4 linked regions of the Diceros bicornis minor genome follow. The protein of the gene in region 2 purifies or fractionates together with the protein of the main gene of each other region. This does not show direct contact. Links are inferred from orthologs where the notes say so. Each region holds a gene or a part of one and is shown on either strand. Other genes may lie near its edges. The genes, in order: CCND3, CDKN1B, CCNE2 and XPO1.

Evidence for each region.
Region 1: the proteins of CDKN1B (region 2) and CCND3 purify together in Homo sapiens (affinity purification with western blotting; 9 studies listed by BioGRID and IntAct, counting the BioPlex papers as one, with this or other methods). This does not show direct contact. The link is inferred for Diceros bicornis minor from reciprocal best matches to the Homo sapiens genes CDKN1B and CCND3.
Region 3: the proteins of CDKN1B (region 2) and CCNE2 purify together in Homo sapiens (co-immunoprecipitation; 5 studies listed by BioGRID and IntAct, with this or other methods). This does not show direct contact. The link is inferred for Diceros bicornis minor from reciprocal best matches to the Homo sapiens genes CDKN1B and CCNE2.
Region 4: the proteins of CDKN1B (region 2) and XPO1 purify together in Homo sapiens (affinity purification with western blotting; 4 studies listed by BioGRID). This does not show direct contact. The link is inferred for Diceros bicornis minor from reciprocal best matches to the Homo sapiens genes CDKN1B and XPO1.

The regions. Positions count from the first base shown.
Region 1 is NC_080753.1:23,496,686-23,503,803, forward strand, and holds the start of CCND3 (G1/S-specific cyclin-D3), read left to right. Parts: upstream 1-4,097; 5' UTR 4,098-4,215; coding exon 4,216-4,413; intron 4,414-5,290; coding exon 5,291-5,506; intron 5,507-7,118. UniProt on the Homo sapiens protein: Regulatory component of the cyclin D3-CDK4 (DC) complex that phosphorylates and inhibits members of the retinoblastoma (RB) protein family including RB1 and regulates the cell-cycle during G(1)/S transition.
Region 2 is NC_080756.1:48,208,222-48,215,600, reverse strand, and holds the start of CDKN1B (cyclin-dependent kinase inhibitor 1B), read left to right. Parts: upstream 1-4,358; 5' UTR 4,359-4,825; coding exon 4,826-5,300; intron 5,301-5,820; coding exon 5,821-5,942; 3' UTR 5,943-5,950; intron 5,951-7,379. UniProt on the Homo sapiens protein: Important regulator of cell cycle progression. Inhibits the kinase activity of CDK2 bound to cyclin A, but has little inhibitory activity on CDK2 bound to SPDYA. Involved in G1 arrest. Potent inhibitor of cyclin E- and cyclin A-CDK2 complexes.
Region 3 is NC_080760.1:14,116,584-14,123,528, reverse strand, and holds the start of CCNE2 (G1/S-specific cyclin-E2), read left to right. Parts: upstream 1-4,056; intron 4,057-4,110; coding exon of another isoform or gene 4,111-4,213; intron 4,214-4,511; exon of another isoform or gene 4,512-5,250; 5' UTR 5,251-5,276; coding exon 5,277-5,290; intron 5,291-5,388; coding exon 5,389-5,485; intron 5,486-5,563; coding exon 5,564-5,620; intron 5,621-6,568; coding exon 6,569-6,720; intron 6,721-6,945. Other genes in the region: uncharacterized protein LOC131419404, read right to left, coding at 3,500-4,056, 4,111-4,213. UniProt on the Homo sapiens protein: Essential for the control of the cell cycle at the late G1 and early S phase.
Region 4 is NC_080751.1:25,718,230-25,725,095, forward strand, and holds the start of XPO1 (exportin-1), read left to right. Parts: upstream 1-3,860; 5' UTR 3,861-3,949; intron 3,950-6,866. UniProt on the Homo sapiens protein: Mediates the nuclear export of cellular proteins (cargos) bearing a leucine-rich nuclear export signal (NES) and of RNAs.

The sequences.
Region 1 (7,118 bases), on a different chromosome or scaffold from region 2:
AACAACAAAACTTTATTGTATGTACTCTTGAAAATGCAGATTTTGGGGGCCTCATCACATACTCAAAGAATGAAAAGCCCTGAGGCAGGACTCAGAAATCTGCATTTTTGGCAAGCTCTTTGGGTGATAAAAAAAATCATCTGTAAGTATTTCCTACATTTTCTTCTAGTACTTATATAACTTTAGGATGGGGAAGGCATGATTCAAAGGCAAAAATCATTAAAGAAAATATCAGTAAATAAGGCTACATAAAAATAAAAACCTTTTATTATTTTTTTTAAATTTGTAACCACTTTTATTTTATTTTTTTATATTTATTTATTTATGTATGTATGTATTTATTGAGGAAGACCAGCCCTGAGCTAACATCTGTTGCCAATCCTCCTCTTTTTGCTGAGGAATATTGGCCCTGGGCTAACATCCGTGCCCATCTTCCTCTACTTTATGTGGGACGCCACCACAGCATGGCTTGACAAACGGTGCATTGGTGCGCACCCAGGATCCGAACCTGTGAACCCTGGGCCGCTGCAGTGGAGCGCGCACACTTAACCGCTACGCCACCGGGCCGGCCCCATAAACCTTTTATTTGTTAAAAAAAAAGAACTTCACCATGAACCAAAAATGAGACGGAAACAGTGAACTAAAATTTGTGACAAAGAAAAAAGTATGAAAAAGGGTTAATGTCCTTAAAATATAAAGAGCACTTATAAATCAATAAGAAAACAAACATCCCTATAAAAGAATGGACAGAAATATGAATAGGTAATTAATTTACCTAAGAAATGTAAATAATATGTCAAAATATTATTACCAATAAATCACTTTTCATCTCTCGTTTTCTTTCTCCATAAAGAAAAGTGGTATATAGGCCGGCCCCATGGCTTGGCGGTTAAGTGCGTGCACTCCGCTGCTGGTGGCCCGGGTTCAATCCTGGGCGCGCACCGATGCACCGCTTCTCCGGCCATGCTGGGGCCGCGTCCCACATATAGCAACTAGAAGGATGTGCAGTTGTGACCTACAACTATCTGCTGGGGCTTTGGGGGGAAATAAATAAATAAAATTAAAAAGAAAAAAAAAGAAAAGTGGTATATATATATACAATGGAATATTATTCAGCCACAAAAAGAAGGAAATCCTGCGATTTGCAGCAACATGAATGGACTTTGAGGGCATTATACTAAGTGAAATAAGACAGAGAAATACAAATACTGTTTGATTTCACTTATATGTGGAATTTAAAACTCCTTACTCATAGAAATAGAGAACAGATTGGAGGCTGTCTGAAATGGAGAAAGGTGCTCAAAAGGTACAAATTCCCAGTTATAAGATGAATAAGTTCTAGGGATATAATGTACAGCACGGTGACTATAGTTAACGATACTGTATTGTATATTTGAGTGTTGCTAGGAGAATATATCTTAAAAGTTCTCATTCAAGAAAAAAAATTATAACTATGTGAAGTAATGGATGTTAAACTTATTGTAATAATTTTGCAATGTATACATATATTAAATCATTATGTTGTATACTCTAAACTAATACAATTGATATATGTCAATTATATCTCAGTAAAGCTGGGAAAAAATTTTAAAACAATGGTGATTAACTCTCTCATCAAAGATACACAGTCTGGGCCAGCCCGGTGGCTTAGCGGTTGAGTGCGCGCGATCCGCTGCTGGCGGCCCAGTTTCGGATCCCAGGCGCGCACCAACGCACCGCTTCTCCGGCCATGCTGAGGCCACGTCCCACATACAGCAACTAGAAGGAGGTGCAACTGTGACATACAACTATCTACTGGGGCTTTGGGGGAATAAAGGAGGAGGATTGGCAATAGATGTTAGCTCAGAGCCGGTCTTCCTCAGTAAAAAGAGGAAGATTAGCATGGATGTTAGCTCAGGGCTGATCTTCCTCTCTCACACACACAAAAAATACACAATCTTCTAACCTGAACAGTCCTATTCGATAATTCTGAAAGTAAAGAAACACCTTCCTTCAAGACAGATCTGGTTTCTGGTGATGTACTTACTTCAAAAGCTAGATTTTTTTAGTCTTCCTGCACCTTAAAAACCTCTTACACTTCATTTTTGCCTCCCCATAATTTCATACCTAATCTTTATAATTTTAAATCTATTGTTCTTTTTAATGAAAGAGTGCAATGCAATGAATAATTAGCTAAAGAAACTTCATACTTATATTTCTGAAGACAGGAGTAAAGGACTTACAAGATTAGACAAAGCACGTGACACATTCATGTTGGCACAACAAGGGCTCTTGAATTAAAAAATATAAACCACTTTTCATCTCTCCAGTTGGCAGAGTTGTGGTTTTTTTAAAATAGATATATAATGTTTGTTCATTAGATTGGTTCAGCCTTTCAGCAGGGAAATTTGGTAATAAGAATTGTATCAAAAGCCTTAGAATGTTTCATAACCTTAGATTGAGAAATTCCACTTCTAGAAATTAATTCACTTCTAGAAATAATCATGAGTCTGCACAAAGATATTACCACAAAAATATTTTACATATTGTTTCTAATAGAGAAGAATTTCCACCAATACAGATTTGGTAAAATGCATTATACATTCACCGAATGGCATACTGTGTAGCCATTAAAAATAATGTTGTAGCATATTTAACGACATGGAAAAGTGTTAACAGTATATTTTTTATTGACAAAAATAGCTTACAAAACAGTTTGCGATCTCATTTTGAAAAATATGTGTTTACTTATAGAGCAATTTTAGAAAAATAAACATTGACGTTTTAAAGAGTTATCTCTGGATGGTGAAATTGCAAGTAATTATTATTTTCCCTTGTTTTGTGTGGCTTATCTGTATTTTCTAAGTTTTTGCAATGCGAATGAATATTTCCATGATTTGGAAACTACAATAAGATTTATTCTATAAAAAAGAACAATTCATTGAGAAAATGCTTAACATAGAACTTGCCTTTTCTGTCCAGTGTCATTTCTCTAGTAACTCACTTCCTTAGTGTCTCCTCCCTTGGGAGGACCCCAGGAGAGGCAGAGATCCCCAAGGCCTCCTTCCATTGGAGCATAACTGGAGGCCTGTGGTCTGCCTCTTGGTCCTGTGGAATCCAGCTTTGGGGAAAGTTTGGGAGGTAGAAGAAATGGCAACTGGAAGATTTTGTAGAGTCTGATCAAGAAACTCCTTCAGAGAGGATCTAGTTTCTCCGCCCACTCTTTCCTCAAACAGAAACTAAGGCGGATTTCAGGGCTTGTCCAAGGCCACAGAGCCAACTTAATGACAAGGTGAGGCCTTGAATCCATGGCCTTTCCGCCCTGTTGTGTTTCTGTAATGTGCTGATTTCGACCAGCCCTTCTCACGCTTTAATATGCGCAGGAATCACGGGGATCTTGTTAAAATGCAGATTTTGATCCAGCAGGTCAGGGGTGGACCTGAGGGTCTGCATTTCTAACCAGCTCTCAGGCGGTGCAGATCTTGCTGGTCTGGGGATCCCAGTTGAAGGAGCAATGGCGTAGAGCACAGATTCTGGAGGCAGACTGTCGGCTGCCCAGTCCCAGCTCTGCCGCAGACTGACTGCATGATTGTTATAGTTACTGTGCTTCAGTTTCCTCGTCTGCAAAATAAGTGTAATACCTAACTCATGGAGTTTTCGTGAGGATTTAATAAGTTATTACACTTTAAGTGCTTAGAACAGTGTTCACTAAGAACTAGTTATTTTATTATTTATAGTCCCTGGAGCAAGCAGTGGGTGAAGTAGGGTCTGACGAATGAATGAATAACCATTGCAGAAAAGTTCTTTCCTGGGCAACTAGAGACAGAGAAGCAAAATGGGAGGGCTCTTTGCTGGGGAAGAGGCCCACCTCCAAGATAGTTCTCTCCACTGGGTGGTCAGAAGGGCCCGGAGCGCCCGGAAGCCGGCCGGCCCGCGCCGCGCCGACCAATGCGGCCGCGGGGAGGGAGGGGGAGCGCCCGCCAGCCCTTTCCGTCTGGGCGCCGGCAGCCCCGCCCCTTGGAACGTTGCGACGCTCGAGCATTCCACGGTCGCTACCTCGTCGCGAGGGGCGGGGCGCCTGTCAGGGAAGCGGCGCGCGCGCCGGCGCGGGCGGGCTGGGGCTCGGCCGCGCAGTGCCAGCGCCAGCACCAGACCCGCGCCCCGCGCTCTCCGGCCTGCCGCCTGCGTTCTGGCTCGCGAGCCCGCACTCTCGCCCTGCCTGTGCGCTGCCCGAGGATGGAGCTGCTGTGCTGCGAGGGCTCCCGGCACGCGCCCCGGGCCGGGCCGGACCCGCGACTGCTGGGGGACCAGCGTGTCCTGCAGAGCTTGCTCCGGCTGGAGGAGCGCTATGTGCCCCGCGCCTCCTACTTCCAATGCGTGCAGAGAGAGATCAAGCCGCACATGCGGAAGATGCTGGCGTACTGGATGCTGGAGGTACCGCCGGGACGGGTCTCCCCTCCCCCTCCGCCCCTGCGTCCCCGGCTCCGGACATCCCGGTGCCGCCCTATAGGGACATCCTGGTCCCAACAACAATCAACAAGATGCTTCGGTGGTCCAGACCCCCGGTTTGGCCTTCCACTCGGGCACCCTAGCCGGCTGCCTCCGTGGTGACCCGTTCCCTTCCCCAGCCCTGACTCTGACTGCCAATCATTTGGCACCCTAACCAATCCCCTCTTCGGGCCAGGAAAGCGGGACAAGAGCCACCCTCTCCCCTCCGGCTTCTCTCAGCGTCTCCTACTTCCCTCCCCCGCCCGATCTTCTCTGGAGTGCGCGCCTGGAAAACCCTGGGCTCGGCCGCCCCCGCCCCAGAGCCGGTTCCTGTGTCTGTCGCGGGGTTCTGGCGGGGAAGGCGGTGGGGGTGGCGCGCGCGCTGTTCCGGCCGTCAGGGAAATGAAAAGTGCGGGAGGCAGCGGCAGGAGTCTCCTCCCTTCCCTTTGGGTGTGTGCAGTGGGTGGTGGTAATGGGGGTAAGGTCCCAGCTCTCTGGCTAACATGGGTGACTCTTCCGTTTCTCCCCCTCCCCCCCGCTATGGGGGAGGGGAGTCTCAGTTTGGAATCCTTATTAAGGAAAGGAGCCTCTGGCGTCCCCCACCCCCCAGGGGAGGGGGAAGGAGGCAACGCGGAGGAAGTGGGGGGCGTCACCTTGGGGAGGACGCATCCTCCTCCGTATTAGTCCTTGACATTATAAGTACACTTATCCCCCTCCCATTTTTGCTCTCCACTCCATCTCCCGTCAGCACACCCCCCCCCCCTTTAGTACTGCTGCGTTTCCCACGGCCCTGCCCAGAAGTGACTGTGCCCACCCCCCCCAGGTATGTGAGGAGCAGCGCTGTGAGGAAGAAGTCTTCCCCCTGGCCATGAACTACCTGGATCGCTACCTGTCCTGCGTCCCCACCCGCAAGGCGCAGTTGCAGCTCCTGGGTGCGGTCTGCATGCTGCTGGCCTCCAAGCTGCGCGAGACTACGCCCCTGACCATCGAAAAACTGTGCATCTACACCGACCACTCTGTCTCTCCCCGCCAGCTGCGGGTGCGTGCATGACTCCCCCCACCCCCAACACGTACTGCCTCCTCACTTACCAGGAAAAGGAAAGCTAAGGCCTCAGAGGCTTTCTGCCCCCTGGGGAGGGAGCATGGCTACCAGAGGGCAGAGGCTATGTTTTTGGACAAAAGATGGGGCTGTGTGGTGTGATGGTTAGGGTAGCCCCAGCCCCAGTGGCTTGAGCTGCTGGCAGGAACTAAATCTCCTTCTCCTGACCTCCAGGGGGTGCCATTCCTTCCTGGTCTTTCCCCCAGATCCCAACAAGTCCAACTGCATGTCTACACTCCTAGTACTTTGCCTCTGGGTTTACACAGCCACCATGAGTTATTTATTGGCAGTAGCAGGACATGCCTGTACACCCCCACTGGAGTGGGGGAGTGGAATGTGCCTCATGTGGGGGAGGGGGGCTGCTTTGGTTGAGTCTTGATCCCAGTGTGGACTTTGTGATTGAAAAGCCTCCCAGAGCAGATTAAAGCCAGGCCCTGATTGCTCTAAGGAAGGGCCAAGGAGTTTCATCCTACCTTCTTTCCTTCCCCTTATATCCCAGAAGAGACGGCTCCTTCCTAATCCTCCATTCCCTGTCCTCATTCTGAGGAACTTGAGCAGCTGCTTTGGGCCTGGTAGAACCATCTCTCCCTTTCCCCCTTAGCCAAAGGCCAGAGCTGAGGGACAGACAGGGAGCTGAACTGCAGCTGCTTCCGATGTGATAATGATGCCCCCTCCCCTGGCCCGCCCACTCTGACCAAGGTCTTTCATAACCCTGTGGGGAGCTGCTGTCACTCCTGTGGTTTGGGAAGTGGCTCCCTGGGCCTCTTGCTGGGAACTTGGGCTGGGCTCTTCCCAGGGCAGGAGGGCAGGAGGGCAGGAGGGCCCCGGGTTCTCTTTCCCCACTGACCCTGGAGAGGAGGTGGCAGAGCTGCCTGGATCTGGAAGAGGTTATTCGGGGCATGCAGATCATCTCCTGGGGAGGCCTGGGGGAGAGGGTGGGTGAGCTGGCACCTTCCCCCACCCTGCTCTCTGTCCGCCAAGTCTTCTGCTGACCCTGAGAGGAGTCTCTGGGCCCCATCTCCAGGGGAGGAGGGCAGCATGCAGGCTGCTGTGATTGGCTGGCCAGGAAGCCAGGGTACTGGGGCCCCCGACTGCTGCTTGTCGAGGAACAGGATTCCTCTTCCTGCCAAGTAGCTCTCCGAGATGGGAGTAGGAGGCCAGAGTTGGGAATCTGGGAGGCCCCACAGCTCTTTGTGATGAATCTGGTAGTTTTTGGCAAGTCTGAAGGTGGAGCTGGTTTCCAGGGCTGGCGACCAAGATGTTTCCAGAGGGGTTTGGGCTGGAAGGTAGAAGGGGACTTCCTTTTTGTGAAAAGACTGGGATGGTATGTGTGTCTTTGTGTGACGGGAGTTTTTCAGAACAGGCAAAATGTACTCTTACTCTTCCCCCACTCCCTCTGCCTGAGCTGGGGGTGGAGCGTGCAGATGGCTTCCTAGAAGGTCAGAGTTGGACGGGATCTCAGAGAACTCCAGTCAGTCCAAATCCTTGTGCAGCAGAGAAGGTTGAGGCCCAGAGGAGGAGGGAAGGGTCCTGCCTCAGCCTTGCACTGAAG
Region 2 (7,379 bases):
TGGTCTCATGGCCTGTGCTTCTGCCCTCCTGACTCACCCCTGTGCTCTGCCCAACAACTAGCTCCCTTTGGATTAACACCATAATGGGACTGTCTACCCAGCTTTTCATTTAGCTGTGCCCCTAGACACTGTCTCTCAGGGCCCAGGCTTGCTCTTGTTCAGGAGGCAAGTTATGGACAGTGATCATGTTCTTCCTTTCACCAAAAGCTCCATCAGTTCCCATTGTTTACTGAATAAAACAGATGTTTTTTTTTAGCATGCCATCTATGGCCTGCCCTGTCTGATCCCATCTCCCAGTTACTACCCCTACCAACACATCTTTACAATCTTCTTGACATTTTTCTCATTCTTCAAGATCTGACTCATATATCATTTCCTTGAAGGCTTTCTCTTTCTCCCTGCTTTGTACTCCATCATTGTACCATGTTCTTCCATGGATTACTTTCTACTTCTGTGGTTTTTTTGTGCATGTGGTTGTCTCTCCATCTAGGGTCTATATTCCCTAAAGGCAGGGACTGTGACTTAGTCGTCCTTTCACTCCCCACTGAGAATGCCTTGGGGAATGCTTTACACATGGTAAGATCACATCAAGCCACTGGGCAACACCTCCTAGTGTCACTCAGTCAGTGATAAAACCCGTACAGTGGCCTACATTGTCTTGTATGATCTGATGTTCCTGCTACCACTCTCCCCTTGCTCCTTGCTGTTCCTTGAGTACATCAGACAAGATCTCACTTCAGAGCTTTTGAATTTGCTGTTCCCTTTATTGAGATACTCTTTCCCCAGATATCCACATGGCTCACTTTCTCAAGTCCTCAGGGCTGCTCTCCAAGGTCGCTTTCTCAGTGAGGCGCTCCCTGACCTCTCTGTTCACATTGGGACCTGGAAACAGTCTCTTTCCCTCTCTCCTGTTTGTTGTTTCTCCACAGCATGTATCACCTCCTTACATAGTGTATCTTTTACTCATGTATTACTGTGTTTATTTTCTGTCTCCCCTCCCCCCACGAGAATGTAAGCTTCTTCCCAGTTTTAAATCTGTTTACTTCTGAATCCCCAGAGCCTGGGATATTGAAGACACTCAATAAATATTTGTTGAAAGAAACAAAGAATAAGCAAGTTAATAGAGGGTACTCAATAAATATTTATTAAACTGAGTGAAAGCTGTCAAAAACAGATGACTGTGAAATTTCCAAACTCTAAAAATATGTCGGTTTAGGAGAATAGTGAAATTGAGAGAAGCTGCCTCGTTATAAACATCCTCAAGGAAGGATTAAAATTGTGTGCTTGTGGTGGGAGGGGCAACTGGGCAAGGAAGTGTGTACCTGTGCAGAAACATTAGGGGCTGTATAACTCCCTCCCCGCACCCCCCACCCGCCGACTGCATCTGAGGGGCGGGCTTGCCCAGCCACTCCATTCGGACACTTGTCTACCACACAGGTGTTTTCTTTTAAATTATTTTGGTCTTTGCCTATCTCCCCAGCTTGTGAAGAACACAGAAATCTTGGGTGTCTTATGTGACACTTCTCAGCTCTCAGCAGGAAACTACCAGGAGTGAAAACGACAACGAAAACATCACCCAGGACTAGATTCTGAGTCTTGGGGAAGCAGAGCCCATTTTAGAGCAGGGCAAGTGGAACGTTCTGTCTTCTACCGAAGCTCCGCCTTCACACTGTTTATCTGCAATTTTTCTCCCTGGCTTACTCTTTTGCAGCCGCCTACTTTCCGCAGGAGGATGGCGCTCTGATCTCCGCGTTCCCTCTTCCCTCGGGGACTCCATAGTATTTTTTTCACGCTTCGTTGCTACTACAGCAGACGCCTGCCTTCTCATTATTTGCTGTACAGATCTCCGGTGTCTTGACTGTAAACAAAACACTTTAGATCATAGCAAGGTCGATGTAAGCACAGCCTTTCAGCCGGCAGCCAGACGTCTTAAGGTGGCGTGCTCCACTTTTCAAGATTTAACAAAGCAACAAAATGGTGCTCCTACACACCAGTTGAAGAAAGAGTCAGGGTGTGTAGGGGATAGAAGTACTAATTTTCTACTTTTATGTAAGATATTAATTCCATGAATAAAATCAAACTTTTGTGACAAGGTGTAATACTCTAGAATATCTCCATTTACATGGTAGTTTGTGTATTTATGACTGTGAATTTATGCTTATGTATAACATAGAATTCCTGTGTAGTCTAGGACTTATGTAAAAATTTCAACAATGATCAAATTTCAGGAATAGGGTATAAATTATGGTATTGAGGCCTACACTAATTTTCCTGTTCCTCTCCCCCTCTTCTCCAATCCAGTAAATTAAGTGGGGCATTAAATGTAGAAAAATTAAGATGAGACATCTTACTCTGATCGCAGGTGAAATATTTTCTATTGGTCAGGTAGGAAGTCCTGACTTTGAAACATGTTTTGGGCACTGCCTCCCTCACTGCTCTCTGGCTATCACCTCATCCTGGAATCTGCATTTTAGTTTAACTAGTGTATAGTGATACCAAAGGCTGGAGACAGCTGCCTTTAAACATCAGTGACCACAGGCCATATCAAGGAGACATGTGCAGGCAGCCCAGGGCAGGAGAAGGAGCCATTTTGAATCATTTATAAGAGAGGAGGACTTGCAGAGGACAGCACAGGCGAATCCAGACAAAAACCTGAACCCATTGGGGCCATCAGGAAGGAAAGGAACAGAAAATGAACCAGCCTGAGAGTTAGGAGACCTGTGTCTAGTCCTGGCGGTGCTACCAACTGGATATGTGTCCCTGGCTAGGAAGCCTCTCTGAGTCTCAATTTCCTCAGTGGCAAAAAGAGAGGGTTGAACCACAGGGTTCCCAGGGCCCCTCCCAGCTCTTACCTTCTGGAGAGTATGAGGTGAGGCAGGCACAGAGAGTGGACAAACATGTGGTGAAGAAAACAAGTTAAAAATCAAACTCATGTGTAGCACAGATGCACAAGAAAACATTGTTGCTGTGTACTATTAGAACTGCAGGAGATTACTTTCCAGTAAAATGTATTAACCTGGGCCCAAACCAAGATTGTATGTATTGGGGATGGGGTGGGGAGGCAGTTAAAGACCCTTTGAGCTCTGTCTCAGATATCATAGCCCTGACCATCCCGTTTTAACTTCCACCACCGTGCTCAAGATCATATGGACAGGTAAATTTCAAGTTGCAAAGGGGAGCAGAGAAATGCCCACATAATAATATCAGAAGTGAGGACATGGTGTGGTGATTTTATAAATCACTTCATAATCTGGAGTTGCAGATTGTTTTCACCCTTCAACGACTTGGAGGCCTCGAAAAGCACTCACTTGCATCTGAATGTTGTTCTGGGTGGGTTAAAGCAGCGAGTCTGGGGGGAGAGAAAGGTAGAGGAAGGAAGGAGCTGTTGTATTTGGCGGCAGGACTCAGGTAGAGGAAACTGCTACAACTCGGGAAAGAATTGAAACATACAAAGAGGAGACGAGTTCCCACACGCAGCCCATGTCAACGGCCTTCACTGTGCTCGGGAAGCAAGAAGCCGGGCCAGGGGTGTAACCTCGTTTTGAAAACTCAATGTGTCTGAGACGGCTACGGGACTTGGGAGACCAGGTTTTGATTTTGAACTCCCTTCTTATTTTTATTGAGGGAGAGCTTGGGTTTAGAATACATTATAAATGCTGCGCCTACTCCAGGCTAATTTATAGAAAGCCGTTCGCCTAGGCTTCTTCCCTAAGCCCCCTGCCTCCCCTAGAACAGCTGCGACTTCTAGGTTAAGGGGGAGCTCACCACTGCTCATCCCCAGCCAAGTCACCCAGGCAGGGGGCTCCCAGCCCCTCAGGGAATGTTCCCTGCCTCCCCCCCAGTGCCAGAGGTTGGGGCCACGGCTGAGAGCCCAGCTGGGGGCAGAGCTCCCAGCGTCTGCCCGCACTCCCAGCTCGGCGAGCGCGGGGAAAAGCTTCGGAATCATCTGGTCCAGCCCCTTCATTTCCCGGGCGAGGAGCGGGAGGTCGGGGCTTCCGAGCGGCCGCGCGCCAGGCAGCGCAGCGCCGGGACTAGAACCCAAGGCCCCACCGGCCCCGCCGCCCAGGCCCCTCCCCAGCTTCCCGGCCGTTTGGCTAGTTTGTTTGTCTCATTTTTAATTTCGCCGAGGCCAGCCAGAGCAGGTTTGTTGGCAGCGGTACACCTCCAGCAATCACGCGACCAGCCAATCTCCGGCCGGCGCTCTCGGAGTCGGCGCGCGGGGAGGCGGGGAGGCGGCCGAACCGCGCCGGGGCCACCTTAAGGCCGCGCTCGCCAGCCTCGTCGGGGCGCGGCTCCCGGCGCCGCAACCAATGGATCTCCTCCTCTGTTTAAATAGACTTGCGGTGTCAATCATTTTCTTCTTCGTCAGCCTCCCTTCAACCGCCATATTGGGCAACTAAAAAAAGGGGGCTCGTCTTTTCGGGGTGTTTTTCTCCCCCTCCCTGCTCCCCACGTTCTCGCCGCTCCACGACTCGGACGCCGGCAAGGTTTGGACAGGCGCTCGGGGCGCGGGACCCGCGGGCTTGCAGCGGCCCGGACCCGGACTGGCTCTGCCGCCCCCTCCGCGCCGCTGCGCTCCCCGCCCTCCCGCTCGCCCGTCCGCTTGAGCGGCGGCCGCTCGCGGCTGCCTGGCCGGGGCTCCCCCTCGCCCCCTCCCCCAGCCCGGCGCGCTCCTGACGCTCGGGCGCTCTCTCGGGGGTGTTTGTTGCTCTCCGCTCCGAGGGCAGTCGCGGGGCTCGTAAGAGGGGTCCGGGCCGGGTCGGGGCGTCTTGTTTTGTTCGGTTGTGTTTCCCGAGAGCGGCGGGCGTCAAGACCCGGGAGGAAGATGTCAAACGTGCGAGTGTCTAACGGGAGCCCGAGCCTGGAGCGGATGGACGCCCGACAGGCGGAGTACCCCAAGCCGTCCGCCTGCAGAAACCTCTTCGGCCCGGTGAATCACGAGGAGTTGACCCGGGACTTGGAGAAGCACTGCCGAGACATGGAAGAGGCCAGCCAGCGCAAGTGGAATTTTGATTTCCAGAATCACAAGCCCCTGGAGGGCAAATACGAGTGGCAGGAGGTGGAAAAGGGTAGCTTGCCCGAGTTCTACTACAGACCCCCGCGGCCACCCAAAGGCGCCTGCAAGGTGCCGGCGCAGGAGAGCCAGGATGTCAGCGCGAACCGCCAGGCGGTGCCTTTAATCGGGTCTCAGGCAAACTCAGAGGACACGCATTTGGTAGACCCAAAGACTGACGCGTCCGACAGCCCGACGGGCTTAGCGGAGCCGTGCACTGGGATCAGGAAGCGGCCTGCCGCCGACGGTAAAGACCCTGCAAACGCCTAAATGTCTGTCTGTCCGGGGCACCGCTCTGCCTGCTCGAGGGTCTTCACCTCGGCTTTCTTTTCAGCGTATTCTGATGTAGCTTTTGGGGAGCGAACTTTCCTAATCTTAGGTTTTCAATGCTGTCTAGCTGACTGCTGGTCTGTTTACGATTAAGTCAGAAGCCTGAGATTGCCTTATCTGATCATTTCTCTAACTGAAACCATCGCAGTCCCCCCTGGCTAGCCAGGGGTAGGTATGTGACAACGATGGGATGTTTATCAACGGCCTCCCCTTCGCTATGGAGAGCAAAAAGCTTTGGGGCGTAGAAGACACTTTCTGTTATGTGAAAACAACCTCGTTTTGTGCCCTGCAAGGCCCCTGGGAACGACGGATCCAGGATTGTGGGTGGAGGTGGTGGGTTTTTCATGCCCTGACTATTGTGCCAACTTCTGTCAGCCATTGTTTTTTTTCTAATAAAGATTGTGTGTGTTCTTTTTAAAATTCCTTCTTGCCCTTAGATTCCTCTCCTCAAAACAAAAGAGCCAACAGAACAGAAGAAAATGTTTCAGACGGTTCCCCGAACGCGGGCTCAGTGGAGCAGACGCCCAAGAAGCCGGGCCTCAGAAGACGTCAAACGTAAACTGCTCGGTGGGTTGATTACTAGGAGCAAATAACTAACACCCGAATTGGACTGCAGGAAGTCGTAGGCTTTCAAACCCCAAGATACCTGATCTTAGTGGTTGCTGGCAGATTAGAGCTTGCGGGTTTCTGTTTTGTTTATATTTTTTGAGGTCAAAAAAGCAGGAATGGAGAAGGCTGAGACTCACTGTGGGGTTACTGTAATTCTTCACAGTTTCTACGTCCTGAGGTCATTTTCCCTTGACACACACAATTACTAGAGCAAGTGTCCCAGACAAGTACTTATAACCAAGGCCCGGTGGGTAGGAAGGTCAATTCCCTGAGTCCACTAAAAATGTTGGGAACAAGAGGTTCTTTCCCCATTTGAACAAGAACTGGGGTATGCCTCAGTCCCACTTCATGAGAATTCATTTCCCAGAGTTCAAGTTGAGTCAGTAACAGATTTTGAGCCATACATGGAAAAATGGCAAATAAATTTAAATTTTGAGGGAAAAGTTAGGTCCAGACGGCTCATATTTGGTTAATCAAACCGTTAGAAATGTGAATAGAGAGGTATATCGCATTCTTTTATCATTTTCATAAACTGTTACTTTCCCTGTTTTCTGACAAGTTTTGGGGACAGAGAAGGAAGCTGTGTATTTAAAAAAAGCAAAATGGAAAGCTCAAAAATACTCAAGTTCCTACAGAATTTCTGATTACACTGAAGTTGCAAAGCAGAAGTTAAATTAACTCTGCCAGAGTAAGCAATCCAGGAACACGTCAGCATGTGTATGCTAATCGCACTGTAACAGGATGATTTGGATATTTGTAGGGGAAATGGATAGTAGTTATCAGGGCTGGCAGGGTAGGTCTACCCCGCACAAGGGAAGTGGAGATTTTTCCATCTACTAAAATTTGATCAACATGAGTAGCTAATTTGAATAATTTAGCCCCCAATTTTACTTGGATTGGCTATCCCTAATGATCAAACTACATATATTAATAGCTTGTAAACTTCTTATAAACAAGGACTGTGACCTCTTTTTTCCCCCAAAATACACTCATAGCCTAGCATATAAAGAGATTTTAATAGATGTTGATAATAACTTAAGTCCTCATTTATAAAAATTTAAAAATAAAGAACGTAGGGATTTGTTGGTTTTGTTTTTAACTTTGTTGTTTTGTGTTTTTAAGTCGTAATGTCATATATATGACTTTTTCACATACATCTGATATTTTTCAGAACTTATACAAAATGGCACTATAGAACCTCTATATTACAGCTGTAGATGAAGTGGGAAGGTTGGATGAAAAATTTTCCTGAAGCAACCTGAATACTTGCAGCTCTTGTTTTGTTATGACTTGTGGCTGTTCATCAGATGAGCCACAGTGAATCAGACCTACTGGATTTTGATCTGGCCCCATTTTGACATACAGAGAAGCATTTGTTAGTCAATAT
Region 3 (6,945 bases), on a different chromosome or scaffold from region 2:
GATCTTCTTCCCCAAACCCATAACCTCATCTAACCATCAAGAAGACATCAGACAAATTCCAACTGAGAGACATCCTACAAATCACTTAACCAGCACTTTTCAACACTGTCAAGCACAGCAAAAACAAGGAAAGTCTGAGAAACGGTCACAGCCAAGAGGAACCTTAAGGAGACATGACATCTAAATGTGATGTTTGGATCCTGCAGCAGTAAAGACATTAGGGTAAAACTAAGGAAACCTGAATACAGTACGCACTTTAGTTAATGCATCAACATGGATTCATATGGTAACAAATGTACCACACTAATGTGTCAATAAATAAGGGTGAGGTGGTGGCGGAGGGTGGAGGAGTATATGAAAGCTCTGTTCTACCTGCTCAATTTATCTGTAAATCGAAAACTTTTCTAAAAAGAGTCTATTACTACAAAAAAGCCCTCATATTAATCGGGAATAATTCTCCCACCCATCACTCTAACCTAGAGAATTAAAGTTCTCTGATAGGATATCCTATGCATAATTAAATTCAGTATTTACCAAGGTCCTACTATGTATGCCTCTGAACTACTCGGTACTGGCGACAAAAAGATGAACAAAACAATGTCCAAAGCCTAGTTGGAGATAAAAGACATTTTAATAGGTAATTATCGTCCTGTGAGGTAGCATAACTAGAGAACAGAGAAAAGAGTCCAGGAAGGCTTCACAGAGGAGGTTTGGCAAAGAAAAGGCACAGAAACAAAAAATAGGTGGGTTGGGCCTGATTTTTTTAAACCTGTGCCTCTAAGACTCTTCCTGGGTTTTTTTTCTTCCTTTTTTTCTGAAAATGAAAGCACTGTAGAGGCCAATAGTTTTATTTACCACGATGTTTCAACTTTGCATGTACAATGGGGAAAATATACTTTAGAAAATGCCAAAATTTCTAAAATTATTACAAATATAAAGGAATTTCATACATTTCAAAGGAAGCGAATTTTAAAACGGATGAGTGGGAAAAGAGGGAGCTAAAAATGAACATATAAAAATAGAAACAAAAGATAACATATTGAAAGATGATGCCTAAAGTAGGTACCCAAAGGATGACTACATAAACAAAATTCTGGGAAACTGTAATTTTATAATTCAGCTTCCTGTTTTGTTCAGGATCCTTAAAACCACTTAATTTCTATGCGTATAAGCTAGTAAGGCGGGTAGGCAGGAGAGCGGAGAGCTAGCACTGAGCATCGCTCTGTGCCAGGCGCACATGCGAGAGAGGGTCTCTACACACATGATCAAATTTAATCTTTAAAACCACCCGTAAGGGTCTGGCCCAGTGGCGCAAGTGGTTAAGTGCACGTGCTCCGCTGCTGCGGCCCAGGGTTCGCGGGTTCAGATCCCCGGCGCGCCCCTACGCACCGCTTGGCTTGTCAGGCCATGCTATGGCGGCGTCCCATATAAAGTGGAGGAAGATGGGCATGGATGTTAGCCCAGGGCCAGTCTTCCTCAGCAAAAAAAAAAAAAAAAAAAGAGGAGGCTTGGCAGATGTTAGCTCAGGGCTGATCTCCCCACAGACACACACAAAAAAACCAACCCTTAAAATGAGTGTTTTGCTGGCCGACCGGGTGACTTATCGGTTAAGTGCGCCCTCTCGGCTACTGGCAGCCGGGGGTTCGGATCCCAGGCGTGCACCGACGCACCGCTTCTCCAGCCATGCTGAGGCGGTGTCCCACCTACAGCAACTAGAAGGAAGTGCAACTACGACATACAACTATCTACTGGGGCTTTGGGGGAAAAAAAAAAGGAGGAGGATTGGCAATAGATGTTAGCTCAGAGCCGGTCTTCCTCAGCAAAAAGAGGAGGATTAGCATGGATGTTAGCTCAGGGCTGATCTTCCTCACAAAAAATAAAAAAAAAGAATAATAATAAAAATAAAATTAGTGTCTTGCATCTTTTCTGGAGGCATTGGGGCACTTGCAACGGAGCAGGACTGGAACCTCGGTCCATCTGAGAGGTAAACCCAGGTTCTTTTTAGTTCCACTTGACCACTGACCAGGTACTTGGAATATGGCAGAATTCACCCTGTTCGTGTCCACACAAAGAGGACTCGGGATTGTTTCTAATTTCTCCTTTACGATGATTGCACTCGGTTCACTTTATACTCAAGGGCATTGACTAAAGTTCATTCCTATAATTACAGTGTCTTGTTTACAAGTAATTTACTCGTTAGCCCAGTGCTGGGCATATAATACTCCAAGATTAATCCTACAAATGTTAATAGACATCCCTGGTTTTCAGTATATTTTGATTATCAGATGCACTCATTTAGGCCACCAGTTTTGCTTACGCTCAGGTAACACGCACTTGCTGCAAGACCTCCCTTTTCTAACCTTTGCATCCTAACAACGTTTTGAGGTGACTGCAAAAGGGAGGCAACGCTTCCCCTAAGGAGAGAGCCATCAGAAGCATTATAAATGGTGTGAAATTTCTTGGGACTGACAAAATTCTGGGACTCTTCTGAATCTATATCACCTTGGGCAAGACTTTTACTATCTCCTCAGGCATAAATTTGGGAGAAAAACAATTACTTTGCCGGTGTCACCACACTGTTGTAAGAATCGAAAGAGAAACTGCGAACAAGGACTCTGCCGGCCCGGGCGGCCCGAGGAGCGCTCGTTATTTCGGGGCTCTGAGGCCCGCACGGGCGCAGCGGCACAAAAGGCGCGGGGCGGGGACCCGGCTCTGTCCCGGCGCCGCCGCCGCCTGGTGCATCTCGGGAAGGGCTCCCGCCGGGCCGCGACGCGGGGCCAGCCCGGCGGCTCACTCGGGGCCAGGGCAGAGGGACGCACACGGCCGGCCCGCGCCCGGAGGAGTGCCGCGGGTTCCAGGAAGCCTTTGCACGGCTCCTCCACCCCGGGGGCCTTTGTTCCTGGAGGCGTCCCCCGCCCCACTGCTCTCGCTGCAAAACCTGTTCGCGGAGTATCATCGGCCTGTCCTACTTGGAGATGTCCAGTCTGGGGCGCGCTCAGGGGGCGTTAGAGGCAGCGAGGGTGCCCCTAAGTTTAGATATGGGGGAAAAGAGAAGGAAATGCATCGGACCCACCTCCTGCCATTATAGGTCGGAGGCGGGCGGCTCCCTCCCGCGCGGGCAGCTCTCGCGGGCTCCGCAGGGCGCGCTGGCGGCGGCGGGGCGGGGCGGGGCGCGGCGGGCGGGCGGGCCCGGAGCCGCACGTGGTGGGACGGTACTCCCCGCTGGACCCGGCCCCTGAAGAGCCGGTGCTCTCGCGGGGAAGGGGAAAGCCGCCCTCGGCCTTGCTCTGGAGAGGCGTCTTACCCTTGGGGCCCCGGAATTACAGGTTGGGAGGACAGGAAGGGAGGGTGCAGCAGAGCGTGAGCGTTTCCTGCGCGGGGACTACAGAGTGGGAAGCCGCCGGGCAGCGGCAGGGCGGCGGGGTGCAGAGTGACCCACCCACGGGGAGGATAGCCCGGTCGGCGGGACAGGGAGCGGGGAAGCACGGTTGATACGCACCTCGGCCTGCGGGCTGCAGCACAGTGCAAGTAGGCATCCCGGAGCATGGCTGCCCTGGGGTGCCACAGCGCTCCCGGTGGTCCCACAGGCCCGACGGGTGGCGCGGGGGGACACACGTGGCCGGACGCGCGCCGGGCTGTGTTTACATTCTGCAGCCGCTCCACGTTGTGCTGCCGTCCTCGCCTCCCATTGGCCAGCTCTCCAGCCGAAGCTGCGCTCCTCCCGCAGGGGCGGGCCCTTTTGGTCCCCGCGCCTCTTAGGAAAGCACCCGGTTCCTTCAGGCCTTGGCGGGACAGCCAGGATGCGCCGCAGGATGGCCACTTCCTGGCCACTCTGTGCTCGCCCAAGCAGGCACAAATTGGCCGTACGCCGGGCATGAGCCGCGGCCTGACGCCCCTGCGATCGGGATTTGAAGGCGGGAGGGGACAGGAAGGTACTGGCGGGAGATGCGGCAGCCAAGCGGCAGGGAGCCGAGCCGCGGAGGAGGAGCCTCTGAGAGACTCCCTCCCGCCGCCGGGCCGCGCAGGCAGGCGAAGTGGAGCGCAGGTGAACGCGGACTCAGGGCCTGGGCGAGCGGGTCCTGCAGCCCCTCGGGGTTGGCCGGAACGAACTGAGGGCAGGGCGCGGGGCGCGGGCCCGCGGGGCGGGGGCGGGCGCGGGCGGGCGCGCGGGGGAGGGGAGCGCGCTGTCCGGAGGTGTCAGGCTGAGGCGCATGCGTGCGGGGCGGGCCTGGCCCGGCCTATATATTGGGTTGGCGCCGGCGCCAGCTGAGAGCCGAGCGGTAGCGGGTCTGGCGGTGAGGAGGTGCGGGGCGCAGGGTGGGATGCGGGAGGAAAGAAAGCCCCCTGAGCCGATCGTGCCGCGGGCGGGAGCCTGGGGGAGGAACAGTGGGAGGGCTGAGAACTAGGCGGCTGGGGCATGGGTCCCCGCGTTCGGTCCCTGTCAGGACTCTTGGCAGGGGGCCGGGAAAGCGGCGGGGGATGGAGGGATGCCCTTGAGTGGGAGGCCACGGAAAAGCCCCTCGTTCTAGGGGCTTCTCTCTCCCAGCCCCATTTGGGGAGCTAACCCTAGGGAGAGAGGATGGGGGTCTGGGTGCCCTTCACGGGGAGAAAAGCTCCCCGACCAGCCCAGTTTTCTCCTTTCTTTAGCTCTCTTTCCTTCACTCCCACACCCCATCTGGAGTCGGGGTCCCGGTGCCCCTTCAAGCGACAGGCAGAGCCCGGTGAGGCTGGGAAGGAGGGAAAGGAGACTGAAGGACGTGACACAAGTCTCAGTTCCCTCCGCCCTCTGCTTCCCCGCCGGCGCCGCTCTCCAAATTGGCGCGGAACCGGCTTCTCCACAGCCTTTCGCCTCCACAACCCCCTCTCCCCGCGGCTCGTCCAGGATGGGAGGGGGGAAGTGGGGGCGCTACCCAAGCCCCACTCGGGGTGTACGGGGGACAGGATGGAGGACACAAAAAGGACCCATTTGGGGGAGATCTGCCTCCCTGAGCGTTCCGGGTGCTGAGGGTGCTTTGTAAATTTTTGAAGACACTTGCTGCACATTGGCTGACCATTCAGTTGAGGAAATGCAGGCATGTGTCGAAAATTAACACCATGAAATAACTAACACAGTGCAGAAGACAGCATGGTAAAATGGCTCAGGCCGTCTCCTGAGGGACTTGGCTGTAACTTCTGAATCAGCGTCTAACTGGCACTTGGAGACATGGATGACAATGTATTTGACCCTGGTTTTTCCTACCTCCCCTCCAGAGGTTGCATACACCTGAAAGAAGAGGATGTCAAGACGCAGGTAACGTTATTTGTCTTGGAGATATGCTTCAAAGTTAGCTGCTGCCTTTGAAACTCATGACTTACTAATTAAACTTCCTTTTAAAAAATTTACTGTAGTAGCCGTTTACAAGCTAAGCCCCAGCCCCAGCCCAGCCGGACGGATTCCCCCCAAGACGCCCAGATAATTCAGGCCAAGAAAAGAAAAACAGCCCAGGTGAGTTAAGAGGAGAGGGAGAGAGAGGAAATTCCTTGCTGGGACCTTAGTTTACCAATGGTCTTTTCTGTTTTCCAGGATGTCAAAAAAAGGAAAGAGGAGAAGGTCACCAAGAAACACCAGTATGAGATTAGGGTAATGCAGAACTGGGCTGGGTGGATTGGAGGGAAACAAATGCAGGACAAATAAGAATAGAATTGGGTTATTGCTTGGCAATAGAAAGATTCCTGACACTTTTACTTTTAATGCCCCTAGAGGTCAGCAGGAAGGCGCTTATCTTGGGGTAGTTTGTATGTGCCTGAATCCTACTACAGCTGCAGAGTAAGTTGCCTTGAAGCAGCTGGTTCCTCTTTGTAAATCCCTCCCTCTTGGAGCTGCCTGGTGCACCAGGGCCCGCCTAATCTGTCCAATGTACTGCTCTTTGTTCCCTCTCTGACTATAGTGAAGGGTCCTAATAGCTGCTCCTTGGGACATAAATAGGATTTGAAGTCACTGACAGACTGGCACCCAGCCCTGTGCTACCTATTCTTTCCTATGTGTTATACAGAAAACACTTTGGTTCTCTTTGAAAGCAGCATTGATTGGGGAAAGGGTCCTTTAAGTATTTAAGTAATTGATTACACTTGATTCCATATTTAAGGTTGTGCCTTCAAGTATTCTCAAGTAAGGGAGCAGGCTTAACTGGGAAAAAAAAGCTTTTTATAAAACAAGGTGCCCTTGCAACTGTTGCTAAAAACAGGGAGAACTTCAATTTTATAATCTTGGAAGTGATTAGTATTTGACTAAAGACGCATTTTATTGTTATTCCTACCCTCCCCCAATACTTCATTGTATTTCCAGAATTTTTTGTTGTCTAAAACATCCTGTTACTCTTTATGAAGACTGATATGAGCTATATGGCTTATTCATAAAATATGAATGTTGAATTAACTAGATTGTCAGCAACGTTAGCTAACAGTGGTGTTTGGTGGAAAACTATAGACTGTTTAGAAATACTAGCTTCCATTTATGAAAGACCCAAGACAAAAGCTGGTTTTGTATTGCATGAATAGATATTCTTTTTATTTTTTTTTTAAATGACAGAATTGTTGGCCACCTGTATTATCTGGGGGGATCAGTCCTTGCATTATCATTGAAACACCCCACAAAGAAATAGGAACAAGTGACTTCTCCAGATTTACAAATTACAGATTTAAAAATCTTTTTATTAATCCTTCACCTTTGCCTGACTTAAGGTAAGAAAGATTTCAGTAATTTAATGTCAAAGATTAAAATTGTACTGATTTAATATATGGTACTCCTTTGAGTTATTTTTGCCTGCATTATAGAATAGAAAAACTTGTAAAAAATTGCTTTACTAATATTTAAGTGTATATTTTATCTCAGAGTACTGCTATTTGCAAATGATATGAGTATTTAAAACATTGGTTCTATAGTTATTTTCATTTGCTTGCTGAGCC
Region 4 (6,866 bases), on a different chromosome or scaffold from region 2:
ATTTGTGTATTCTTTGAAGAGCTCACCGTCAGTGGAGATTGTCTTCAGAGCCAAAAGGTCAAATTAAAACACAAACGTTGCTTATTTGACTCTAGTGTGACCTTAATAGCAAATATCTGTGACTTTGATAGGCAATAAACAGGTACTGTTCATATATTGTAGTGAGTATGTAAATTGGCACAATGTTTTTAGGGGGCACCTTGGCAGCACCTATCACAATAACAAATATACATGGGCTTTGACATAATAATTCCACTTTTAGAATGGTAACCTAGTGATATATTCACATTTGTGCCCAAAGATAAATGTACAGGGACACTCACCGCAGCATTGTTTTTAAGAGGTAAACTGGAAATAGGCTCATTGTCCTCAGTAGGGGAATGGCTGAATCATTTATGGTACTGAGAAGATGGGGAAAGCTAGGGGCTGTTACCAAGGATGAGGTGGATTTATACATTCTGACCCATTAAGTAAAAATCAAAGTCACTGAACAATATGTATAATATGATGTCATACATGTTGAACAAAACACAAAGCAAATACATTTGTAAATGCATAGAAAATATCTCAAAGCATACACACTACACCCTTAATGATTATTATCTCTAGGCAAAAGAACTGGGGAGACATATGAAGGAGACTATTACTTTTTACTGTAGATACTTCTTTCTCTATTGTTTGAATTGTTAACCATGATCATGTATTACTTTTTAAATTAAAAATAATTTAAAAAATAGAAATAAGTGACAAGTGGTAAAAAGGAATTTATGAGTTTGTTTCTCTTATTTCTGATGAATGTTGTTTCGTGACACCATGTGAACTAGTAGAAAGAACACAAACGTGGGTTCTAATGTTGACTCAACTACTGTGTGGTGGTGTGTACCTGTGTGCATGTGTATGTGTGTGTAACAGAGGGCAGGGTAGAGCAAGAGTGAGATTTGCAAAATAATAATTGTCTTACAGGGTTGCTGTAAGAATTCAGTGAAACACTGTACAAAAAGGTCTCTGTTGCTACACAACAGGAAGGCACTTAATACAGTTTACTTACATTTCCTTATCCATATCTGACTCCAGGTTTGAAATCTGTTTGATTCCAACAAATGAAGGTAATAAAAAAAATATTAGACACATGTCAGACCTATGTTCCGAATGTGATCCTGAAAACACAGTGCTCAAACATAATTATCTGCTCCTGTCACTTCTTTTTGCTCTTGTTAATAACAAGTTTATATTGAATACTTCCATTTTGGCTAACTCTAGGCAAAAAATATTTACATCTGATTCACTATGGTCAAAGAGATATGACCTCCTGGGGACAGGAGTTAAAGCGGCAAGGAAAAGAGCCAAAGAAGGGGATAGCAAACTGAGACTATTCGAACTTGACAATCCACAAAGTGCTTTATGGGTCACACTGCTCCTTCATATCCCTTTGATCCTTACGTGGATGAGACAGGCATGGATGATAACAACCTCATTAAACGGGTGAGAAGGAAACTGAGGCCCAAAGAGGTGAAGTGACTTGCCCAAGGTCACACTCTGAGCAAAGCCATGGCTTACTCCCAGTTTTTATTCCTATTATTCTGCCATCTAAAAATCAGTGGACTGTTCCAAGAGCTAAATATGTAGAGTGGAAAAACTTTTTAAAAAACAGGATAGCCTCAGTGTTTCTGGTAATAGAATGTAAGTACTCTAAATGATCAGTATATATCATACGTATTATGGCTTGATATTATTCAGTTAGGCAATGAATAAAAATCTTAGGTCTGAAAGTCATCCAATATCATTTTGGTGAATCTAGGCATTAAGTTACTGGGTTTTTTCCTTATTGGAAGGTGAGGTAGTTACTCTCGAGCGCTGCTTTGATGTTAGCCATTACCCATTGTGAGTGAAGACTTGCTGAAGTAAATTGTGTTGATTTAAGAAACCATTTATCAACCTCTTGGTGGCACAATGGGCCTAGAAAATTTTGGAGGTCTGCTTACTGTTTCTTAAGCAAAGAACAATCAGTAAAGCTGATTTGGAGGGCACCTGGGGACAAACAAGAGAAAAAAACATGTGAAAGGCCACGTGCCTGTGACTTTCATAGAAAATACTATTTGGTGATGACGAAGTATGTGATAGGGCAGCTCTGCTGAAAAGAAAAACCGTGGGTAGGGGCAGATGAAGGGCACCAGGTGGGAGGTAGTTTACCCACCAAAAACATGCGATGTCAAAAAATTAAAAAAAAAAATGTGATGTTAAACCAATTACAGGGATTTTAGTGTCTTAGTTTTTAGGAAGGTTGGTTTTTGAAGCAGCCAAATTCCGGCTCGGGGAGACGCTGAGTTAAAATTTGAAGGACTATTTAGGTGTCTTTTCCAGGACTCAGAAGATCCCGAGGCGCCAAGAGTGCACGCCCCACACCTCACCCCAACCTCTTTCAGGGTTATTCTCACACTCAACTCCCCGGCCCGAAACCCAACTCTTTAAATTGGATTACAGAGGTCCGGAGCCTACAACTAGCCTCCGATGTGTTCTTTTGGATCCTTTTTTCCTCCCCTCCCCAAAGAAAAAAATAACAGGGTGTGCCGTCCCTTTGCGTACCGCGGCCCCCATCCGAGGGGCGGGTCCTGATCCCGGCGGGCTCAGGCCCCGCAGCTTGGCGGGAGCCGGCGAGGGCGGGCCAGCGCGAGTCGGAGGAAGCCGAGCGAACGCTGCCGCGCGCCGCGCTCAAACTCGCGCCACCACCCGTTCACGAGCTGCGCCCCACCCTCTCCGTCACCCAAGGCGCCCAGCCAATGAGCAGGCCGGAAAGGCCGGGCCTGCGGGCTAAGCACTGGGAGGGGGAGCGGCGGGAGGGGGACGGGAAGTCGAGGGCGGGCTTCGCTTGATTGACAGCTCGCTCAAGCCAATCCTCCGCGAGGCTTCTCTTAGCTCCCTTCTCCGCTCTGCTCAGCTCTTCGTCCCACCTCCTCCTCCACCACCCCCCTCCTCACTCCTTTTTGACCCGCCCCTCTTCCCCTCCCCCACTCTGCGGGCAAATCGCTGCTGGAAAGAGGCGGGGGCCGAAGCGGCGGGCTCGTGTGGAGCCTTGAGATGGGACTGACGGGCGATCTGACCAATAAAAGGTAGGCTGATGGCGCGGCTGTGGCTGGAACCGGCCAATGGGCGGGCGGGCTGGGGGCGGAGGCCCAGGTTCCAAACGCTCCGCGGCGCCATGGGCTGAAAACTCAACCGAGATGGAATCTCCCAGTCTGAACCGGTTTCAACCGGTTCCGAGTTTGAGGCACTAGGAGGAGGGGGAGAAGCGGCTGCAGCGGCCGCGGCAGGAGCAGCGGGAGCTACAGCATCAGCAAGAGCAACAGTAGCTACAGCCCCGGCGGCGGTGCCTGTTCCAGTCTTTGCTGCTGCAGTCCGTGCAACCACCCAGAGGGGGAGGGGGGAACCACCAGTCGCTGAGAAGCAGGAGAAGGGGGGAAAGTTTAGGCGAGCCTGGGTGGGGGGGCCTAGCGCCGGAGCCGCGTGAGAGAGGGAGCCGTATTTTGGTAGGGGGGAGTCGGACTGCAACTGGCAGCAGAGCGTCCCCCGACCGTGTGGACTCTACACCCCCTACTCCTGCCGCTCCTGCTGCCGCCTGTGGCTGGAGGGTCCCCCGGGGGCTGAATCTTTGGGACTTGACCCCGTTCCCCTCCCCCTTCCCTCACTCCCCGGCCAGGCGGGAGCATTTATTCCACAGATTAATTCCCCTTTTGGGGGGGGCGGGTGGGTGTGTGTGTCGGGGGGAGGTTCCCTGAAATAGTAAATATTGTTGAGCTTTTTTTGCCCTTATCCTCTTGGTTTTTTTAATTTCCTTTTTTAAGGTGGGAAAACTGTGAAACCCACCTTGATTTCCTCCCCTCTCCCCCCTCCCCACCTTTCCTCGCCCTAATCCCCCGACGAGGAAGGAAGAAGCAGTTGGTTCAATCTCTGGGTAAGTCGACTGTGTCTTCGGGGCCGAGGGTCGGGCGGCGGCGCGGCCGGGCGGGAGGAGGCCGGCGTGGGGCGCGGCGGCGGCCGCGGGAGGCGAGCCCGGGAGGCGGCGGCGGGCCCACAGCCGAGCCTGCGATTGAATGGAGCCGCTTCTGCCGCTGGGGGATGGAGGCGGGGAGGCGGCCGCGGGAGGGGAGCGCTTGCTGGGTCATTCGTGTGTGCGGGTGGCGGTGGAAGAAGGCGAGGGGCGTGAGAGTGAAGTGGGGCCCCGCGCGGGGGTGGAAGGGCTTCCCCAGCCCCTGGGCTGGGGAGAAGTTGCGGTGATTTCAGGAACATTTCTGTAAATTATTAGGAGTGGAAGTTTCCAGAAATATTTAGTGCAGCAGCATTGAAACGTCCGCCTGCATCACGTGGCCCCTCGGTGGAGCGCTTGGGATCGGGGGAGGGAGGGGCTGCCGCGTCCCTGCTCCTCCTGCAAGGAACTCGGAATCTTCCTGGTTTTTGGCAGAGTAGGATTAGAAGTAGGAAAGGTTAGTTATTTTTCAGGGATCTGCAAATGGGGTTCCGTGCTGTAGTTTGTTTTCGGGGGCTTGAGCGTGTTAAGTGATCGAATTATTTACTGCTGGCATTGTACAGCAGATGATGCCGATTCTCCTTCATTCCGATGTCTCTTGAGTTTGGGGTGGGTGAGAGGAAGTGGTATAGTAGAGGAAGCTTTCAAGATTTGCCCAGCCCGGACCTCCTGTGATCACGCAGAGGCCATGCTGCATAGAGAATGGGGCGGTGAACTTCAGGCGCCTGCTCTAAATGCCTCCTCCGAGTATGGGCGGGGTGAGTGCGTGCTCCTGTATGCTATAGTTAGAAGTGCTGCAGATCGGTTCGGGTGGGAAGCGAGGGGAGGGCGGGCCTTACTGAGGTGTGTTTCTACTGAATGGAGGAGGCAATTGGCCACACACCCAAATAGCAGCCTCTCTCCTTGTAGCGACTTGTTTTTTTGACCTACTGTGTAGTTAACATTTAAGCAACGGTTATGATTTTCTGGTTTGGGGATGGGAGCTGGCAGTGTAGCTGCCTGCCTATTCAGTCTGAAGTGGCAGTGAAGGTATTTTGGTAGTCATTTGTAGAGTCACCACATTGCTGGGTAATCCCTTGTATATGCTATCCAGTGAGTGGATTTTAGGATTGAGTGTCCCAAGGAGAAAAGAAAGCGTTTGTGGTTTCACTTCTCTCGCTATGGCTGTTTGCTATCTGCCTGATTGTATATCTTAAGCGTGTGGGACAGTGCTGTTAGTGGAAAGAATGTTTTGTTTTGGAAGCTCTTTGATTTGGGGGACTAATTGTGCTTGGCATTGACCAGAAAGCCGCCATTTCTGTCCTACGTACAGTTCAAGAATAGGTAGGTCATTTCGAAGATAGCCGCTAGTTCTAAGGATGGCAAACTTATGTATTTAATACAAGCTTCTATTCTAAACCTGATTTTTCACAAGAATTTAGCTCGAAGGACTCTGTAAGGACCATATACTTGAAAATGAAACTTTACAGAGTCACTTTATTTTTTTATTTTGGCCTTTCAATTATGATAGGGCTAAATAGAAAAGTTCGTTCAAATTTTAACCAAAAAAAAATCGAAAACTTTTGATAACGTAGCTCTTGGTGCTTTGTGTACATTGCTTTTCAGCCTCAATTTTTAAGATTGTTCTGATCTTTTAAAATTGTATGGTACTTGAATGGGGGGAAATTTACCCATTTATTTGTGGAATATATATTTCCTTTTTTATATTAGTATTTATCCTTTTTTATATTAGTATTTAGAGCAAAGATTTTTGTTGTATTTGTCACGTATTCTGTATTAAAAACATTTAAAAACTGCTGTAAAATATTTTGAAATCTTATCAGTTTTACTGTCTATGGATCAAGCCTTAAGAGGAATAAAAATCCTTGAACTGTTTCTCGATTTTTACATTATATATAATAAAAAAATTAACTGACATCCTCAAGACTTCTAATCTGTTGTAATTGACATTATCAAGTAAAACATTTGAGTTGAAATTGCTGCCATTATTGTTAAGAACATCTTTAAGCTGCTATAAAATGGCCAAGAAATAACATCTTTTTCCTATCAAGCTACTTTGTCCAGGCACCATGTAATCAAATTAGCCACCCATTTCCTGATCCTGGAAGGTTTTTAAGAGGTGGAGAAGTGGAGATAACCATCTGATCTTGTTGGGTCTCCCAACAGTAAACCAGAGGTTCTTAGCCTGAGGTTTCTTGCGTGGCTTTCAGAGTGTCCTGAATCTTCTGTAATTGTATACAAAATTGTGAGTTTTTTTAATTTGGCAGGAGCTATCATTTTCCTCGGATTGTAAGGCGTCTTGACCCAAAAAAGGTTAAAGAGTACTGATTTAGCCCGTCAGACTTCAGTGGCACTGGCTTGAAGAAAAAGCAGAGGAAAGAGTTTTATAATGCTGGGCAACAAAAATGTGAATGTGTGCCAGCACTTTGGAATAGAGTCCTCTTAAAAGGATAACATTGCATATGAACCAGTAGGTTTTAGCCAGTACATTATTTGAGGTGAAGAAGCTCATTTTTCTGTTATGATAGAATTTGTTTTTGTTTGGGAAATAGTTGGCAAGCTTTTACAGCTTTTTACCTTGCCAGTGAATACCTGGAAATTAAAAAAAAAAAATTGACATATTAGCATAAAGGTTTTTTTCTAGACTATATTCAAGGAATTTGTACACTTGTGATTTTAATCCCCAAGTTCATTGAGGGTTGAAAGAAACAAATATAGATGGTTTAATTGAGTGTAGAAACTTAAGTTCTGTAGAAGTTAAGGGTACTAGATTTGTTAGACAACTTGTTCCTGCTAATCATTGCTATATATATCATAGGAAAACTTGTATACCACGTTTAATTTT